2 linked regions of the Astyanax mexicanus genome follow. The protein of the gene in region 1 interacts with the protein of each later gene in a pairwise test. Links are inferred from orthologs where the notes say so. Each region holds a gene or a part of one and is shown in the gene's direction. Other genes may lie near its edges.

Evidence for each region.
Region 2: the proteins of rint1 (region 1) and c16h19orf25 interact in binary tests that used the Homo sapiens proteins (3 or more experiments, as listed by UniProt). The link is inferred for Astyanax mexicanus from reciprocal best matches to the Homo sapiens genes RINT1 and C19orf25.

The regions. Positions count from the first base shown.
Region 1 is NC_064409.1:11,967,843-11,978,140, reverse strand, and holds the start of rint1 (RAD50-interacting protein 1), read left to right. Parts: upstream 1-5,993; 5' UTR 5,994-6,040; coding exon 6,041-6,268; intron 6,269-6,695; coding exon 6,696-6,937; intron 6,938-7,615; coding exon 7,616-7,789; intron 7,790-8,074; coding exon 8,075-8,215; intron 8,216-8,467; coding exon 8,468-8,624; intron 8,625-9,552; coding exon 9,553-9,663; intron 9,664-9,751; coding exon 9,752-9,977; intron 9,978-10,298. UniProt on the Homo sapiens protein: Involved in regulation of membrane traffic between the Golgi and the endoplasmic reticulum (ER); the function is proposed to depend on its association in the NRZ complex which is believed to play a role in SNARE assembly at the ER.
Region 2 is NC_064423.1:18,736,960-18,746,791, forward strand, and holds c16h19orf25 (UPF0449 protein C19orf25 homolog), read left to right. Parts: upstream 1-6,207; 5' UTR 6,208-6,470; coding exon 6,471-6,615; intron 6,616-7,650; coding exon 7,651-7,835; 3' UTR 7,836-8,371; downstream 8,372-9,832. Other genes in the region: reep6 (receptor expression-enhancing protein 6), read left to right, coding at 521-647, 1,774-1,867, 1,972-2,110, 2,235-2,403, 3,751-3,830, 5,061-5,081.

The DNA.
Region 1 (10,298 bases):
CCACCCACGTTCCAAAGTGAGAGAGGCCTTATCATCTGATGACAGAAGAATTTTTTGCAAGAGTGGTTTTTACTGCCACTCAACAGAACAGAACAGCCATCTATACACCCAGGCTCATGGTCTCCTGCTGCTACTGCAGAGGACCTGTGGGTGCAAAAAGCGTTAAAGGTCAAATGTAATGAATTACAACCACACTAAAAGCAGAAGTAGGATTAGGGTTGGGCGATATGACTAAAATAATATCACAATATTTCATGGTATTTTCGTGATAACGATACACTTAAAGACATGATAAAACAAAACTAACTGAATTTAAAAAATATTTAAAGAATACTTTACTGCAACAAAATGTGAATAAAATTTTATTATTGAATGCAATATGATATGGCAAACCCCTAGCTGAGATATTAAAAAAATAGATTTGTAACAGAAATCAATGGTCCAGAATGTCATGATACTAAAAAAATGCACTCCATATATCTCCATATATCCAGGATTAAAGTAAAATAAATTATATTGGACTGATCTAATCTGTCTCTAGTAGATATATAATGGGAAATGAGAATAGCGTAAATGTTTCTTTTGCTAAAACCAGCAAAAAAGTAGTTTCCTGATAAAATATTAGGGGTGGGTGATATGGCACGATATTTCAGGGTAAAATATCCTTCACGATATTAAAAAATGTTGACAATATTATTGCGTACGATACGATATGGCACATCATTAAGTAGGATCATCATTTCCACATTAAAAAAAACTAAAACTTTTACAGGTAATGGGTTAGCTTATTAAGCATGTCACTACAGGGTTTTTTGTGTAAAGGGATAAATTGACTTAAATTTTGAGCATGATTTTTCATTGTGCGCTTACTTAAATGATTAATACAGTAGCAGTACTGTAACATAGAGAATTTTCTCTACCTTCTCCACCCCCAAATAGCTTGCAGTAAACAGCCCTGCTTCTCCAATTCATATTTTCCTATCCGCCATCGTCACTCATTCTCACTCATGAACTCACACAGGGAGGAGAAGAGCGTCAGGTCAACGCCATCGTTCTGCAGCGGCTGCAGTACAACAGACTCATTATTCATGGCCTTGACAGTTTTATGGTGCAAACATGTGAGTGAGGGGGATGTTGTAAGTGCCTCAAGGGCATCGAGATGGATCTGAAAAGAAGACAAGCACTCAGAACACACCACACCCATCCTCCCTCCCTCCCTGTGTCCGTCACACTGACTGCCCATTTTCGAGCAAGTTAAAGCTGAGGTTGGGTTTTAAAAAATAAAGCACATTTTTGTTCACGAAGTGGAGACAGGGAGGATGTGTTTTTTTAAAGCCCCTTTTACACATGCACAGTTACCCAGAACTGTCCGGATCAGTCATACCATAGTCTTTATCCTCTCAGTCCCTTAGACTAAATCTGGGTAATGTCCGAGGGAGCCCATGTGTGAACAGAATAGATCATTTTCAGGAGAATTCACATTCTGTCATTTTTTTCTTTGCATCCTGATCTTGGCTTTTGCTGCATGCATGAATGTGACTTGATTCTCCTGACATTTTCCTGAAATCATATGTACATACAGCTTATGTGGCCTCTGAAATTTCATGACTTTGTCTATGGACAAAAATCAAGATGTTGGTCAATCAATGTGGCAATCAATGTTTTAATCAGTACTGCACATTCTTGTAAATTTTTCTATATAACAAAATGCTATACAGTGTCGGAAAATACATAAACAATTCAAGATTCGGGATTTGCACTGTGCTTATTCTCTGCCTAAGCTTCTAATATTGTCTTAACTAAATTAAAATTGTAGTTCCAGTGCAAAAAAACAAAAATGCACGCACAAAAAACAGATGGACAGCACGAATAAAATATTTAATTGTAGTGCAGCATAACAATCAGTTAACTAATGTTGTTTGTTAACATTGTGCTAACCTTGAATCAGCATAGTGGTGCACAAGAGAGCTCCCTCCAGAAAGAGTACCATTGCCACTGGTCATGTTCATGGATTGGGAAAACAGATCAAAAGCTTATACCAGGCGCACACTTCATGACTTTTTTTAGTCGTTAGTCATAAAAGAACTGAGAGGCCATGCAGGAGGTGATGAAGAAGAAGAAGGCTGTTTTTATTTTATTTTATTATGTTTACTTTTAAGTTACTTTATTTCAGTCCTTAGTTAATTCAACCACAAAACAAACACACCTTTCTATTCATTGCTTTTTTTTTTTTAGAAGTTCTGCACCTTATATTCATGCACACATTCATGCACTTTGCCAAACGTTTTTTTTTTAATCCCCACAAATGGTGTTCAACCAAAAACAGTGGTTAGTTTAACAAGACTAGTGTTTGCTGGGTTGTGGGTTAGCAAACTGTTGCTATGATTGCTGCTGCTAAGCAACCAGTTCAAAACATTCACAAATGGGACAAAATACTGGTCACAATACTGACATAATGTGACCAGTACTGCTATTGAGCAGTGTGTTTCCTATTTACTGAGCCAGTATGGATGTTCAGTAGATACCCAGTTCCCACCACAGCCATTCAACAAATCACCCCCTTAGTCTGAGTACGAGTTACATAATGAGATCGATGATGCACCATGTTAGGGCTGGTTCTGTTGTGGAATTAAACAGAGGGAACAGCATGGTGGGACAGCTTATGGATGGCTCTACAGCTGTTGCTCCAGCCTAGGTTTACTTTGGCAAGCTCACTGTAAGCCAAACATCCTCCAGGACAGGTCCATCGTGCCATCCAAAGCAAGCACAGGCCTGCAAGATGGACACTGGGCACCCTTAAAGGTGTTAAGCAACCTAGTCTAATGAGCAGACAGATGGCAAAGAGGAACACACACAAAGGTGTGCAGAAAATACATACACTAGAGCATCAGCAAACAGAAGTAAAAACACCAGCCAAAAAGATTTCATTAGGCAATGGTAAACACACATTTTTAAAACATGTTATACTCTAGTAAACTCTAGTTAGTGGTGGAGAGCTAAATGAAGGGTGTTAGGTAACGTTATATGTTATGCATGCATCCTCTGGCCTTTTTGAATAGTACACTGGCTTTCTTAATGTTCATTGTGACCCCTGGTTTCTATTTACACTATAGCAAAGAAACAGATTTCTTAACAACTAAATTATACAAAAATGTCAGAGAATAAACATTACAAAATTACCTGAACAGTGTCTCCACTGTATATACTAGTGCAGTCAAAAAAATGTTATATCATTAAAGTTAGTTTATTTCAGTAATTTGGTTTAAAATGTGAAACATATATATTATTTAGATGTATTACACACAGAGTGATCTATTTTAAGTGTTTATTTTTTTATTGTTTGTTATTATGGATTACAGCCATAGTATCTGTCCAAGCTGCCTGAGGTCTAGGGTGAAGTTTCCACAAGCAGTGATGGTTTGGAAAACAAATAAAAGTTATGCTAAGTTACTTTAGCTAATGCTATTATCCTAGACCTGTACAGCCTGCATATTTCACCTGGAAAACATCCTGTTTGTGAAGAAGAAGTAAGCTGAATACACTGGTATAATACACTTTATTTAATTTAATTTAGCTGCCACAGAGTGTTAAAATTAACTTGAACCAGTTGTTTATCAATTCTCCCTGTCAGCATTCTATGTTGCTACAATATTGATGATTATCTGCTAAGGGAGAGTACGAAGAAAAAGAAGAAAAAGTTCTGATTTTTAAATGCCGGGTCCTAGACCACCTGAAAGCAATTTCAGATCTTCTGCTGGACCCCCCACAGTTTGTGTATAGAGCAAACAGGTCTGTCCATGACGCAATAAATTTGGCATTGCACTCCATGTTACAGCATCTCCACAGTTCAGGGATCTACGCTAGAGTTTTGTTTGTGGACAGCTCAGCTTTTAACACCATTGTGCCAGAGCATCTGCAGGTCAAGCAGTGCGAGCTGTCAGTGCCAAATCCCATCTGCCAATGGATCATGGATTTCCTGACCAACAGGAGGCAGCATATGGGTTAGGAAAACACGTTGGACATCTGGACTCTCTGTATTGGAGTACTACAAGCCTGTGCTTTCCCCCCTGCTCTTCAGGCTCTGCATCTCCAAAGATTCATCTGTGAAGAATCTGACGTTTGAGGACACCACCACTATGGTCAGCCTCATAACCAGCAGTAATGAGTCTGCCTACAGAGAGGAAGTTGAGCAGCTGGTGCCCTGGTGCGGCAGCAACCACCTGCTGCCGAAGACACAAAAGACTGTAGAGATGACTGTAGACCAGACTTTAGACCCACCCCCACAGACACCCATGGTGCTGAGGTTTCCACTCTGGAGTCACTCCAGTTTCTGGTCATCATTATATCCATCATATTCAGAAACTGCAGCAGTGGATGTTCTTCCTAAAGCAGCTGAAGTAATTAAACCTGCCTTCAGGCCATGCCAGTGAGGATCCACTTTTACACAGTGATCATCACATCCATCCTCACATCATTCGTTGTCTCCCTCACAAGAATGAATCAAACTCCTGTGGATAATCAGCACAGCAGATTGGATCACTGGATGTACCAACACTTCAGTGCGTATATAGCAGTATGGTCGCAAAGCGTGCTGGAAAGATTATATCTGACCCCTCTCACCCCAGCCATCATCCTTTCCATCCACTTCCCTCAAGAAGAAGACCCAAGACTACTTAGACATGCTAACATCTGTTTTTCCTTAGGTCATCTCAAATCATCTCATGTTAGCTTTGAGCTTTTTTAGCCTAATTTTCATATTATTCTGAAGTAACAACTGTATTCAGCCTTAAAAGACCTTTACTAGTGGTTTAAACTCTTTAAATTATTTAAACCATTAACAGAGCTGACAGAGTCACTTTTGTGCCTTAATTCCATGTGCTACCCTCCACAAGAAGCATCTAAAAACTGCCAGAGGACATGACATCACATATTTTTGATCAGATTTTCTATTATATTTTTTTTTATCAGAAGTAACAGAGTAACAGACCATAACACTGGAAATTACATAAAATATTTTTAACTGTAAAAATTATACATACATACAGTACCACCAGTCAAAAGTTTGAACACACCCTAATTTCAGTGGTTTTGATTATTTTTTTTTTTTAAATCTGCATTGTAGCTTAATACTGAAGTCTTTCAAACTGTGAAGAAACGTATGGAATTAATCATTAAACACAAAAAATGTTAAACATACCAGAATATGTTTTATATTTTAGAAACAGGCACCTGGAATGACTTTCAGTATTTCTTGACAGCTGTGCTGAGATAATCAAGAGATAATTACTTGAATTTCTAGCACTTTTAATGTGTTTGAGACCACCATCAGTTGTAAAGTTGTGAAGAGGTAGAGTTGATATACAGTAGTATACATACCCTATTTAAGTAAAACATAGTATTGCAAGAACTACTCAACTAATTAAAGAAAACAAATACTTTAAGAAATGAAGGTCAGTCAATCTGAATACATTTTAAAGAACACATTATCCTCAAGTGCAATCGCAAAGACCATAAAAAACGTCATGATGAAACTGGCTCTCATCAGGACCGCCCTAGGAAAGGAATATCTGAAGTTACCTGTTGCACAGGATAAATTAATCAGATTTTCAGCCTCAGAAACTGCAAATTATCATCACCCCGATAAACCCTACAGCACTTTATGCTTCCCTCTGCTGACAACTCATGGAGATGCAAATTTTATTTTCAAGCAGGACTTGGCACACTGCCGAAAGAACTAATTGGTTTTAGATAATAGTCTAACTTTCTGAGAAACTGATTTTTGAGTTTTCATTAGCTGTAAGTCATAATCATGAACAAAAAAACGCTTAAAATAAATCTATGTATTATATAATTTTCACAATTTTTTGTAAATTTGCATGATATTTAATTTTTTTGAAATGCACTAGTACTGTATGTAGCATGCTTGAGAAAATAAAGGGACTCTTATTCTATAATGTAAATGCTTTCCCGCGCTCTCTCCAGTAGAGGGCGCGCGCGAGAGCGTTTGCTGCTGATGACGTGGGCAGGCTGAGGGAGAAACATGGCGGCGGCCGCTGTGGAGCAGGATAATAACAGTATGAATGGTGAAGATAGCGGTGTGAATAAAAGCGAGCCCGGATCCAGCTGTGCTGAGGGGGTCGGGGGCTGTGTGGAGCAGCATGTGGCGGAGCTGCTGCAGAGGGAGATTGGAGGAGACCTGAAGTCTCTGAGGAAAGTTGGGGGGCTTCTGGAGAAACTGACAGCAGAGAACATGTTACTGGAGGAGCAGGTAAACCAGCCCTGCATCAGCTCTACTGACTGACCTCTCTCTTACCTCAACTGTTTAAAAAGCATTAAAGTGTGTATGTGTGTGTGTGTGTGTGTGTGTGTGTGTGTGTGTGTGTGTGTGTGTGTGTGTGAGAGAGAGAGAGAGAGTTCACTATATTCAGAAATACAGTACAGTCCACTGTGTGTTTGATTTATTTGGATATCTTAAACTGCCTAGACATGTGTGTGTGTGTGTGTGTTTGTGTGTGTGTGTGTGTGCAAATATTTTCATTTACAAATAAATCACTATCTAATAAAAGGTGCTATTTTTTTTTAGACAGATGGTTTTATATACTAAGCAGTGTGAGCAATGTGTTTTCATGATATGTCTAGTTCAACCTTATAGACATAACGTCTCCGCTGACTGGCTGACCTTTTTATTCCTGCAGGTGTTGACTGTATCCAGCTCAGTGCCTCTGCGTGTATCTGCTGCTCTGTCTGCAGCAGAGGAGGCCCGGACGAAGCTGGAGGTCCTGCTCCAGAAGGAGAGGCTCCTGTCCAACACGCTGCAGCAGCATCTGCAGGGAGCTCAGAGCTGGGCCGACAGCCTAGGACAAACACTTGGACAGCTGGACACGCTGGAAAGGCACATGAAGTACCTTCAGTGCTTGGCTCGCATTGAGGAGCTTAGGTGAGCAATACAGCAAAATTAACACTTGTAATTATTGATCCAGTCATGATTGATCAAGATAGTGGTGAGAGAAAAGGCTGTGGACCCAGTAAGTTTTTATCCATCCATTCATCAATCAAAAAACCTATCCACGTATGTATAGAGAGCATTCCTATGCATTCTGGAAAACCTGGAAATTTAGAAACAATAAAAAATGAGAAAATCTTACCTGTAAGTATTAGTAAGAGCCTAGAAAAGTCAAATTGTTGAATCACAGCAATAAAACCAATTCATGCTAAGAGCCTTTTGAATATTTTTACGTGCAATCCGTTAGAGACTTTCTAGAAATAGCCTCAAACATATATATCCCTGATAGATGGATCTTTGCATGGATAAAAGCCTGAATGGCTGCGTCTGTAAATGGATGAATGGATGGATTTATTGATCTATGGATGAATGGATGGATTCATAGATGGCTTGCATGAGGAAAAAAATGTCTTGCTTTTTTCTCCAAGAAGGGAGTAATGAGAGGGTGTGCTCTGCAGCCCAATATCCTTTTTATCTATTTATCCATCTATCATATCAATCATATATACTGTAGAGATGCATACATACATATCCAGGGAGTGTACATTCTAGACATTTACCTCTCTTTTTTGTGATTTGTGATTTGTCATGGCTGCTCTATGTTTTGAACAGTGACAGTATTCAGCAGTTCCTGATGACTAACAGTGTTTGGGAGGCAATTGGAGCTGTGGGCAATATGGCCACTCTAGACATGGGCCTTCAAGAGTCGGGCTGCTCACATCTACAAGCATTCCTTCGAGAAACATTGCACTTCTGGCACAAGATCCTGAAAGACAAGCTTGCAAGGTATTGCCAATGTTTTATATAATATTATAATTACATTCAGAGTTTTGAAGTTAGCAAATATATTCTTAATGTTTTTACTTTGTTAAACCCCATGTCAGGGACTAAACATGCCCTTTTAATGTCAATGTTATAAATTATAAAATCTGTTCCAAAATCTGAGAGCAGGCTGGCTAATGGTAATTGATTTGGGTTTGCTGTTATTGTTGGGATAATATTAAATAAAATTGACTGCTATTCAAAGAAATTGTTGATGAAATTTGTCATGTTTGTTTTTCTTAATCTCAGTGACTTTGAGGAGGTGCTGACACAGCTACACTGGCCGATAGTCTCTCCCCCGACCCAGTCCCTCTCTCCTCCAGCTAATGCACAGGAGCTCAACAGCCAGCTGGAGCTCCTGGTGTCTCAGCTCCTCTCCCTGCAGATGTCGTATCCTTTGTGTCACAGAGACACACATAAACGTACATCTACACTAACCATTGTGCTACGGTCAGCAGCTCACACACAGTTCTTCTTTTATTAGCAATGCAGCCCTTTGTTTTAGGCAGACAATAAGACAGTGTATTTTTTATCATGTGATAAATGGATCTTATTATGCAACAAAATTAGGCAACAAAATATTCACAACATAATATGCATGAAACTGAATGGAAAAATCTTTGCACTTGACTCCTGTCCCAGTGACGATCTTATATCTGAGAAAAAGGAATTGCCCACTCGTCCAGGCTTACCACAGACCCCACCACTCTCGCTGCCTATTCAGATCATGCTACTGCCCCTCAGCAAGAGGTTTAGGTATCATTTCACTGGGAACCGCCAGACCAACTCACTAAACAAGGTTAGATTGTGCACATCACTATTCTCCTACAAATTATGTAACAGCCAGTCTTATTTTTAAAAAATGGAAATTATATATATTTTTTTCTGAAGTGTAAACAATGTAAAACAATGCACAATTTCTTATAAAGACTTCAGTCCCCAGCAATCAAAGGTAATTACCAAAAACAGAGGTTTAATCTTTAATAATAATTAATATTACGGGGTGCCGAAGAAGAAGCGCAAGCGACTTCTTGCAAAATCTGGACACTGTATTATTAAACTGTACTAGAGTATTAATAAGCAGTAGGTTATAAATGTAGGTTACTGTTTACATATAAAAAAAGTAAATAAATCTACTTTTTGCTTTTAATATTTCAACATTATTCTTTTTAAACTCTTAGTAATTTGCCATTTTGGTTTAAAAGAAAAAGTACACTGTTATGTTTCAGAAAAAAAAAAAATGTTTTCACTTAATTAGCCAAAATAGAGCATTTTGTTTACAATATTAAACCTCTGTTCTTGGTAATTACCTTAAATTGCAGGAGACTGAAGTATTTTTAAGGAAATATGCATTGTTTTACATTTAATTTCCTTAACATTTAATTTAATTTATATTTTTTTTATTTTAGTAAAATCGAATTGTGATCTCAGTATTGTTAATCGAATCGAATCGTAACAGAATATTTGTTACACCCTTACCAAAAACAGTAAATTATTTAATATGAATGATAAGAGCAACATTTATTTAGCCAAACATACAAAAGTAGTGTGTAACACATGTGTAACGCAACGTATCACACATCTCAGGATGAAGTTGTAGAGGTTAGTAATGGTGCCCTGTGATGATCCTTCACATGCAGCTCTAATATTCCTGCAGAAATGGGCACTTAATGGACAAATCAATACAGAAAATATACATACTGACTGTATTTTCCTCTCCATTTTAGCCAGAGTGGTATCTGACCCAAGTTCTTGTGTGGATGGGCCACAATTCCCCCTTCATGGAGGAGAAGATTCAGCCCATTCTCGATCGTGCTGGAGCCAATGTCAACGCAAAGGTGAGAAGTCAAATTTAGAACAGTTTTTAACTGACTAATTTTCGATTTGAGCCATTATACATGCATTGTCCCTTTCTATGCCCATTAGGTGGAGCTGTGCAGGGGTCTCCTTACTCTGGCTCAGGAGAAACTGACCCACGATGCCCCTCGGCTGCTGTATGACGACACCCTGTTTTGCCACCTGGTGGACGAGGTGCTGCAGTTTGAGAAGGAGCTGCGAAGCACACACGCTTACCCCAGCACTTACCCTGGCGCCCTGCCCATCCTGCTGGAGGAAACTGTCTTCCAAAAGTGGCTCAGTGTGGAGAGAAAAAGTGAGTGCTCAGAAACACACGCGTGTTGAGAGAGTATGTTCTGTTTTACTGTTGCAGTGTGGATTATTATTCTCCAGTGCTGTTAGATTAGTTCAGACTATTTTTGGGCCTTTGTTCACAATTTGTCTGATTAAGTCTATTCATTACGTTGCCTGCCATCTTCTTTTACTTCTTTTCCAAGCATATTTTTATTTCAGAAATATTTCTTCTATATGAAAAATAAAATAGCTTCTTCTGTTTGGGCTCTGTTGAGAAGTGAGGCTTAATTTAGTCATACATCAAAGGCATTAATTTTTTTTCTGTTATATTTTTTAAACTAAC
Region 2 (9,832 bases), on another chromosome or scaffold:
ATTAAACAGTGGAGCAGTGAAACTACTTCCAGTTCCTCTGGGATGATTACAGGCGGTCATTACAGAGAGGAATTAATTGGTTAACAGTCTTGATCCTTCCTGATAATTATATTGAACCTGTAACTGTGTGGACATTACACTTACCTACAACTGGCTATTCAAAAAAAAAAACTTGCTGTTTTATTCTGTAATCTGAGGCGTCTATGTATACAGGTCTATGAGTGCTACTGTTACCTCCTCAGATTAGTGTTTATTATGGTCTGGGCTCTGGATCCTCGTCATGGCTCTGAGGGAGTGACGCTCAGGCGCACTGCTCTGTGATTGGTCGCTGCTCTGCCAGTTCCGCGCGGCTGCAGCCTGACCCCGCCCCCTCCCCCCGTTCATAAAGCCGATTGGGGGATGAATTGAGCTCTGGCATGTCAGCGAAACTGCAGAGCGCTCACCTGCTTCACTACTGATGTCCGCGTTCATATTTACTGCTTTTAATCCTTTAAAATAACCTTTATTAACTCTGTTCACAATGCTGTCTATTTTCACTAAGATAAAAACGCGCGTGGAGGCTTTTCTCAACGAGAAGAACATCGTCACGGACTGTTTGAACAAAATCGAGGAAAAGACTGGAATTAAAAAGCGCTACCTGGCCATAGGTAAGCTGGGCTCATTCTGGTTTTAAACTGGAAAGTTAAACTGGTCCTAAATTACCCGCTATGACCCGCTGTGTTCGGTAAAGTGAGGTGAGGAATGAGAGGCATAAGCTGAGAGGAAACACAGCAGACAGCACAGAGCTCGCGACTCTAATCCTCTGAGCAGCAGCAGGTGGAACAGCACTAATCAGGATGTTACCGGCCTTCTGCGTGTCTTTATTTATGCCTTCTGCCCCAGTGACTCAGTCTGTTTAACAGATCTCCTGCACGATAAGACCATTCATAAAGACACACAGACACGCTGCTAGTTCACAAACTGTCAAACAGCTTATTAAATTCTGAAAATATATTCATCTATTACCAGTGAACACACTGGTGGAAACAATTCCAGTAAGTTACCTAAGTAAGGGTCCCCTTTGTACAATATTACTCCTCTCTAAATGAGTTAAACTATGTACTAAAATATCAGCTAAAAAAACTGCTCTTAAAAAGGTATTTGTAAAAGATATGTTTTTTTTTAAACTGATTTGGAAAAAAAAGATTCAGACTATATTTGAGAATGGGTTTGAACAACTTTAAAAAGAAAAAAATAGATTTTAATCTTTTTTAAAAATGGTTTTAAACTACTTTTTAAGAGAAAATGAGAATGTATTTGAACAACTTAAAAAAAAGATTTGAATCTTTTTAAGAATGGGATTGAACTATTAAAAAAAAAAATCTTTTTGAGAATGGGTTTGAACTATTTTTTTAAAGATTTTTGGGAATGGGTTTGGACTACTTCTTTAAAAAATGTAAACGATGATCTTTTTGAAAACTGATTATTTTTAAAAGATTCATATAGTTTAAAAAATATCCCAAAAAAAAAAAGATTTGAATCTTTTTGAGAATGGGTTTAAACTACTTAAAAAATACATTTTTTTTTTTGAGAATGGGTTAAAACTATTTTTTTAAAATATTGGAATTGTTTTAAGAATAGGATAAAACTACTTTTGAAAAATATTGGATTCTTTTTTAAAAAGGGGAGTTTAAACAAGTAACACTGTACTCTAAGTCTTATAGAAACTAAAAATGCTTCATTTCACATTTATAAATCTGACTTCACATTATACTCTTCCTCTCATCTTTACAGGAGCTGTTTCTGTTACTGGACTGTATCTGTTGTTTGGGTATGGAGCCTCCCTGCTCTGCAACTTGATTGGTTTTGTTTATCCTGCATATTTCTCGTAAGTGTATTTAACTCTTATTATAATACTTGTTCTGAATAATTTCCTACATTTAAGAAACGTATTACTGCATAGTTATATTGTGTATTAAATCTTTATTATAGAATAAAGGCTATTGAGAGTCCCAATAAGGAAGACGATACACAGTGGCTCACGTACTGGGTGGTGTATGGATTCTTTGGTGTGGGTGAATTCTTCTCTGACATCTTTCTCTACTGGTTTCCTTTTTACTATGTATTCAAGGTATGTCTTTTTGCCACTTAGAGGACAGTGACCATCACATGCAAACCCTTTAATACCTACAATAATCACATAACACATTTTATCCCTCCAACTAATCATGCATCTTGTCTTTTGGTGTTTCTAGTGCCTGTTCTTGTTGTGGTGCATGGCCCCCTTCTCCTGGAATGGCTCTCAGGTGCTGTATAATCACTTAGTACGGCCATTTTTCCTCAAGCATGAGGCGACTGTGGACAACATGGTCAGCGACCTTAGTGGGAAGGCCATGAACGCTGCAGAGTCTGTCACAAGAGAGGGTAGGTGAACATATGATAGTTAATTTGATAAAAAATGAACAGTAAACTTTAATAATTATTTTTGTGAAGAATTGCATTCCCTTAAAGCTTCTCTTTCTAATATACCATAGATTATGTTATGAATCCTATCGCAGATTCTTAAATCTTGGTCAGTAAGAGCGTTTATATGAAAAAATCCACTCATAATCGGATTAATGCGGTTAATGGAGAGATGTAAACAGCACAATCTGATTTCTTACATTGAAGAAAGGTCTAAAAATCTGGTCAGGAACTCAGATAAAGAGCTGGATTATAGCTCAGTATTTTTCGCACTATAAGGCACACTATCCATGTATGTCTATTTTCATACATAAAGCACACCAGATTATAAGGTGCATTATGTAATACTAGTAAAGAAACAGGAGTGTCGCCATGTTTTCCTTCTAATTCAGCAGGTGGTGGGTGGTGGTGGGGGATAACTAAGTTAAGTAAAGCTAAGCTAAGTAAACAAACTGTAAACTGTAATAAAAAAAAGTCAAATATGTGCTGGATGATAATCTACACAGATTTCTTTCCTGAAAACTGTTTATTTGGATGAGTAAAGCGTTTTCTGTTTACAGTAAGCTTAGATTTCCAGATTTCCATGAAGTCTATGGTTAGCGCTAGTAAATACTGCCTGACAGCGCTACACTGAGGAACTCTGAGTGTTCCCGTAAGGCAGGGTGATATTAGCTAGTGGTTTGTCCAATGTAGCTTGTTTGTTTACACAGTAAACATGCAGATTTCAGTCCAGTGCTCAACTCTGAATGGCAAAAGAGCTAGCGCTTAGCGTGGTTAGCAGCTAATGCTAATCCAGCAGTGCTAGCTTGGGTTAGCAGCAGGCTACAGTCTGATATACTCACCCCTGAACAACAAAAGCTCTAGCGTGGTTAAAGGCTAATGCTAATTCTGCTTTAGCAGTTCTTGCTGGGGATAGCAGCAGGCTACAGGCTGAAAATACTCACCTCTGAACCGTGAAAGAATGCATAGCGTGGTTAGCAGCTAATGCTAATACTACTCCAGCCCCGGTGCTGAAACTGAAACTCCTGTTTAACGATTTTTGGGAAAATTAAAAGTTTTTATGTGTGTCTTATAGTGCAAAAAATACAGTAATTCTTACTCTGTGCTTGATTTAATTAGTCAGTAAGTGTTCTTGGATTTCTCAATGAGCACATGTGGGAAAATAGGCTGTGGCAGTGTAAATAAATAAGCAGAGTTTAACACAGCACAATGCAAGATGACAAAACATGTTTAAAGCAATGCTGAAACTAAAGGGTTTTACATGTCTGACTAATGTTAACTATGACTTTGTCACCTTGTCTTTGTCAGTTATTCAGAGTCTGGCGAAAAACAGGATTCCCTTATCTGAGAGAATGGATACATCCAAACAGCTTCCCAGTACATCTCGTGTATGTAACCTTCGTAATTCTACAATATAGTATTATTTGTTTGCATAGAATGTGGTTCACCAGTAATTCACAAGTTAGCAGTGTGCAAAATTCCATCTCTTAAATACTTAACATTCAGCAGTCTTTCTTATGTGGTTTATGATCTGATCTGACACTCTTATCTGTAAAAAGGGATATTAGTACTGAAAGAAATAAAGCCTAAGCTCTAAAATGAATGGTGTGGTCTGCTGGGGCAGACAGGAAGAAATTCTATGAACTGATCAGGAAGTAAACCCTCGACGCTGTGGCGGTGGTGTTATGGTGGAGGATGATGTCTAAACTGTCATCCATGAGGGTCAGCAACACCCACCCCATGAGAAACACTACCAGCACTGGAGAGAGAGCTCCTTCAGTGTCAGTCACACTTTGTGCTTCTCACCAAATGTGTGAAGGACTGTTACTGCAGGTCTTTCTTCCTTTCTGCTGCTGTCAGACAGTACAACCAGTAGTGCTCCCACACACACACACTGTCGCTGCGCTCTTGTGGTAATTTTGGGCGGGCGGCCACTCCTGGTAAGGTTCACCACTGTTCCATGTCTTTGCCATTTTTGGACAATGGCTCTCACTGTGGTTCGCTGGATTCCCAGCGTGTTGGAAATGGCTTTATAACCCTTTCCAGACTGATATATCTTAATTACCTTCTTTCTCAATTGTTCATGAATTCCTTTGGATCTCGGCATGATGTGTAGATTTTAAGGATCTTTTGGTGGACTTCACTTTGTCAGGCAGGTCAAGTGATGTCTTGATTGAGAACATGTGTGGCAATAATCAGGCCTGGGTGTGGCTAGAGACAGTGTACTCAGGTGTTAGAAAACACAGGAATGTTTTAACAAGGGGGCAATCACTTTTTCACACAGGGCCATGTTGTTTTTTGACTAATATTTAAAAAGGTTTGATGTTCTGAAACATTTAAGTGTCACAAACATGCAAAAAATCAGGAAATCAGTAAGGGGGCAAACACCTTTTCACACCACTGTAGATTATAACCACTGTGATAGACAGCTGAGTTTTGCCAGACTATTTATTGGAACATGTTTCCCACACTCAGATTAAACCCAATCATAAAAAAATATAAAAAAGATATCGAAACCTATCATTGTTCACCATGTCCTATTTAATCCTATTCATTTTCTCTGTTTTCACTTTTCTCTCTTTTTTTCTCCTTTTTTATGTCTATACATTGGTGTTTAGAATGAACCCACTGTAGACTAAAATGTAAGTAGCCTACTTAAGCACTTCATTTTCCACCTATTTTGCACTTCAGTGTATTTGATTAAACATAACATTTGCTTTTTTGATTTACAGCTTTGCAGGTAACTGCATCCTCTCAGGTGAACTCATGACCTCTTAGATGCAAATCAACCACCAGGACTTATACACAATGGGATTGAATATGTTGTGTTATGTAAGATACATTATGTAAAATACAAATAGATTGGTGACAACTCAGTGTTTCATTTCAATCCTGTATTATTTAAGGTAGTATCCGAATACTGTAGAATTAGAATAACTGTGGATAACAATAATAACTGTTTCAGTTTTAGCTGTACTGTTTTCACTTCAAAAATGTGCTTTAATGCAATGGAAGTCTTCAACTCTGCTGGACAGGATATTTTCTATAAAATGTCCTATTTTAATGTGTACACCTTTTCCTAGTATATCAGATCAGCCAAACATTCCTCTCCTTTTAGGTACAGACCACATAATAGAACACAATACAACTAACATTCTGAAGTATAGTGTGTTACTATTATTTTTTTATATTGGTATTAAATGTCATCATTTTGTTTAATTATTAATATTTTTTGTAACTTTAACAAAAGTCCACAACTTTAACTGATTTTCAATAAATTTGTTTTGTATTTAACATTCTGAGGGGATGTTTTGTGTGTGGTTATTTTATTTTTAGCCATGTCATGCTATTTTAAATATACATTTTAATCCAGTTTTGTCACATTTTAGATTTTCTCTAACATTTTTATTTCACAAATCATCCCTAAGTAGTAAAATAACTCATAACATGATTCTTTTTATTTTATTTTATTGGGCAACATGCCTCAATCTGTTTTAAATGCAACAATACACAAAATTATTGGAAAATCATAAGAATTTTTAGGGGTGCCCACAATTTTTTATACCAATATATATCAAAACGATTTTATACTATATTTTTAAAATACCTGGTCTACGAAATATTTAAATGGTAGTATTTATTAATATAAATATAACTTGGGTAAAAGTTTTCTCCTCTGTAGGGATTCTCTGCTGCAGTCTGAGTGTAGGTCTGTCTCCGGGTCAGTAGGTGGCAGTGTGCGTTAGAAATGTGAAATGTTTACCACAGAGCAAATCTGAAGAAGTATGACGACAACAAGCAACGTTTCACAGCCTCGTTGGCTGTCAGTATCAGTGAGTTAGCGTTAGTTATTTTTCTACAGAGGAGCTTCATTTATGACAAGAGTTTCTGTACATGTTTCTTAATGTCTCTTAATCACTGGGGGGATTAATGCGTCCTCCCGCTTAAAGCTGAGGTAAAGCAGCGTTAGCCCCCAGAGCTACAGCGAGCAGCCGGAGTGTGTGGAGCTGCACCTGCAGGAGAACAGGATGAATCTGGGCTCTAAAGGCAAGAAGAGGATGGTTCTCCCGACCAGACCTGACCCGCCTTCAGTGGAGCAGATCATAGATGACATAAACCGAGCCTACCCCAACGACCCGGTCTTCAGCATACTGCAGGAACAGTCCACTGAAGGTGATCCTGTAGGGAATAAGACCACTCACTTAAAACCTAGATAAGTGTTTAACGACATGTTACATGGGCTGTGAGATAGGACCAGAAATGTAACGTTATACCCCAATAACGATATAGATAACGAAATAGCACATTTTCTATAAATTCAGCGATATTTTTTTTATAAACGTACCACACGATAGACCCATTTCTTATTAAATATTGACTCACACTCAACAAGTAAAAATATGTCTCCATATTGTATAATATTTCCCATTTTATTAAGAAACTCTGTGCAAGTTATTAATTAAACATAAAATATAACGTTAAATAAAGTAGTAACATACTTTTCACTTTTTATGTCAGTGTCAGGACTAATAAACACTGTTTTATATGAAGTTCGTAGAGGGACTGTACAATTTAAACATGTGATGAGTAACTTAGTGTTCTAATTTCCATCTCAACACTTTAACACTTTAACACTAGTTTAGCCTAAAAAAAACGAATTTAAAGCGAATTTTGCCCCGAAACTCATCCTGCTTTAACATGTAACGTTAGTTCAATGCTGTGTGTGAGAGAAAGAAAGAACGAGAGAGAGAGAAAGAGTGGGCAAAAAGAGAAAGAGAGAGCAAAAAAGAGTAAGCGAGAAAGAAATAGAGCAAGAAAGAGAAAGAAAAAGAGAGAGCAAAAGAAAGACGAGAGAGAAAGAAGCGCTCACTTTTCCGCATTCCCCAGGCAACAAACAGGCCGTTGTTTTGTGCAACGATATAGACGATAAGAGTAATGATAGAGGTTTTTCTGTCGTCATAACGAAGTATTTCGTCATATCACACAGACCTAATTCCAGATGAGGCTAAAGATTGTATTCAGTCTTATTAAAAAAAAAATAGATTGAATACAAGTTCATAAAAAAACATTCCTGCAGATACCCTGATTTAAGATTAAAGTCAGAAGCATTTGTTTTGATAGCAAATTTAGTAGAGAAGATTTTTGTTAAGAGCTTAAAAATTTAACAACATTTCTCATGACATTTTTCATATAATGTATATCTTTCAGACGTCCGCAGTGGATCGACCAGCAGTGACGTGGAGGTCAGGTACCTGCAGAGCCGGCGGTTCCTCGAGCTGAACGAGCGGCTTCAGGAGGCACGTTCTGATCTCGTACGGAGAAGAGAAGAGCTGAGGGTGGTGGGGGAGTCTTTAGAACAGAGTGTAACAGAGGTGAAGGACAGAGCCATTTGACTGACCATTTTACATGCTGTTAGAAGCCCACAACACCTTTTAATATGGTGGATGGAGTGGGATAAATGATTAAGTTATGATTTGCTATGTTTTTTTTTTGTTTAAACGTCTTTGTAGTTTAAGTGTTTAGAGGTATGAAGCCAGGCCAACACATAATACCATCTAACTACAGTGCCTACTGTGTAAGTATTAATTTAGGCAACATTTTGGAGATTTGTTGTTTTGTTATTTGTCACTTGATGTTTGAATTCACAAATTCTGACTTTATTTTTGGACATTATTAAGAAAATTATTTGATTGTGGTCTTTAGCATAACCACCACAATCCTGTTTCTTAAACATTGCTTTTTGATTTTAGCACATGCCACACTTTTACCAAGAGGTAAATATGGTTCCTCATGATTCCTCTTTATATTTAAGTGTTCATGGCGGCTGTTATAACTTCACTGTGGGATGTCTTCACCAAAATCCTGCAGTTAATGCAAGAAAATATGGTTTGTAATACTTTTGCACTTATTAAATGAAAATTAAAATTGAGTCCTGATGTGTTGTGTTCACTCACAACTTATAATACAAAGGGTGGAAAAAATGCTGTAGTTTGGTCGATTAAAACATTACTTTCCCCACAGCAAGTTGGGGTTTAATTCTCTAGCGAGGCAAGCTTCCTAATGCTTTATTCATCAAAAGTGACATTCATGCAACCGGAAAATGGACCTTATCTAATGTTTTTTTAATAAAAAACTGGTCGAAAAGATGTTAATATCACATAACTGTGTTCTGTTTAGACATTTAAACTGAAACAGAACTGTTCTTATTTATGTCAGATTATGGCTATTTTAATACCATTTAACACAAGCATGCTGAGCTGTGCACTTTTGTTGCACATTGTTTCATTTCGGTTGTCAAATTTAGTAAAGCAGACACCAGTAAATTTATAATTCCTGGTATTTGCTTATTTAGGAGTATGGTATCCTCTCCAGTTGTATATAATTGTCTTGTGATATATATCGAGTATCACAGACTCCCTGTGTCTCACCCCTAGTTCACACTGCCCTACAGATTCAAATCAATTCAATTTTAGTTTGTAAAGGTTGTCACAAAGCAGCTTCACAGAGAAAAGCAGGCCCATGCCTCTTATGTGCAGATAATGTGCATCACAAATGAAATTCTAGATTGGATTTGGGCCACTTTTACTTCCTGTTTGAACATAGCACTCTAGATAAAAGGTTAAAATGAAATACACAAAGAGGCATGATGAGAACATTTATTATGGAAATCAACCCTTGGCCATCACTAGGAAATACTGTTGGTCATCAACACATTCTGAGTTTTGCTTTCGGCAAAAAAAACTTTACATTTCGGTGTACAGAGCTCACACATTGATTTGGACAGCAATTTCTAATTAAAGTATGTTCTTGTGGAAGTGCTATATATTGTGTATATTAGTAAAACACAGTAACAGTTTAAATTGTAATTATGAATGTTCACTGATGGATCTGTGTATAATTTCTTTACCTCTCCCGTTAATCCAATATGAAGGAATACTTCTTTGATTTTGAGTAAATACAGATTTTGCTGTGCAACTTCTGAGTTTAGTACTGTTATGTTACTGAGTATATTATTTTATCAATCACTTTCCCCTTGTATCCGTCCATATCCTATTTTAAATGCTTTTGTGGTAAAAATTGTGGTTCGAATAAGTAGCCATCAACTAATGTGAAACAGCTACATAAAAAAATTCTGCTTACCATATAATATTAAATGATAGAGCATGTTTTTTTTATATAAGCATGTTCATCATTCATAATATAGATAGTAGAGTCGTAGCTGTCAGTTTACTGTAATTGTTCATTTGTGGTTACAAAAGATTTCAGGTGGAATTTATCACTGCGGGTCTGTTTAAAATGCAGTTGAAGTACATGTTTTAACAGATATGCATAGGTCTGTCATAATAAATAAACTATTATTATTACTGAATCATGATAATAGTAGGTTTAA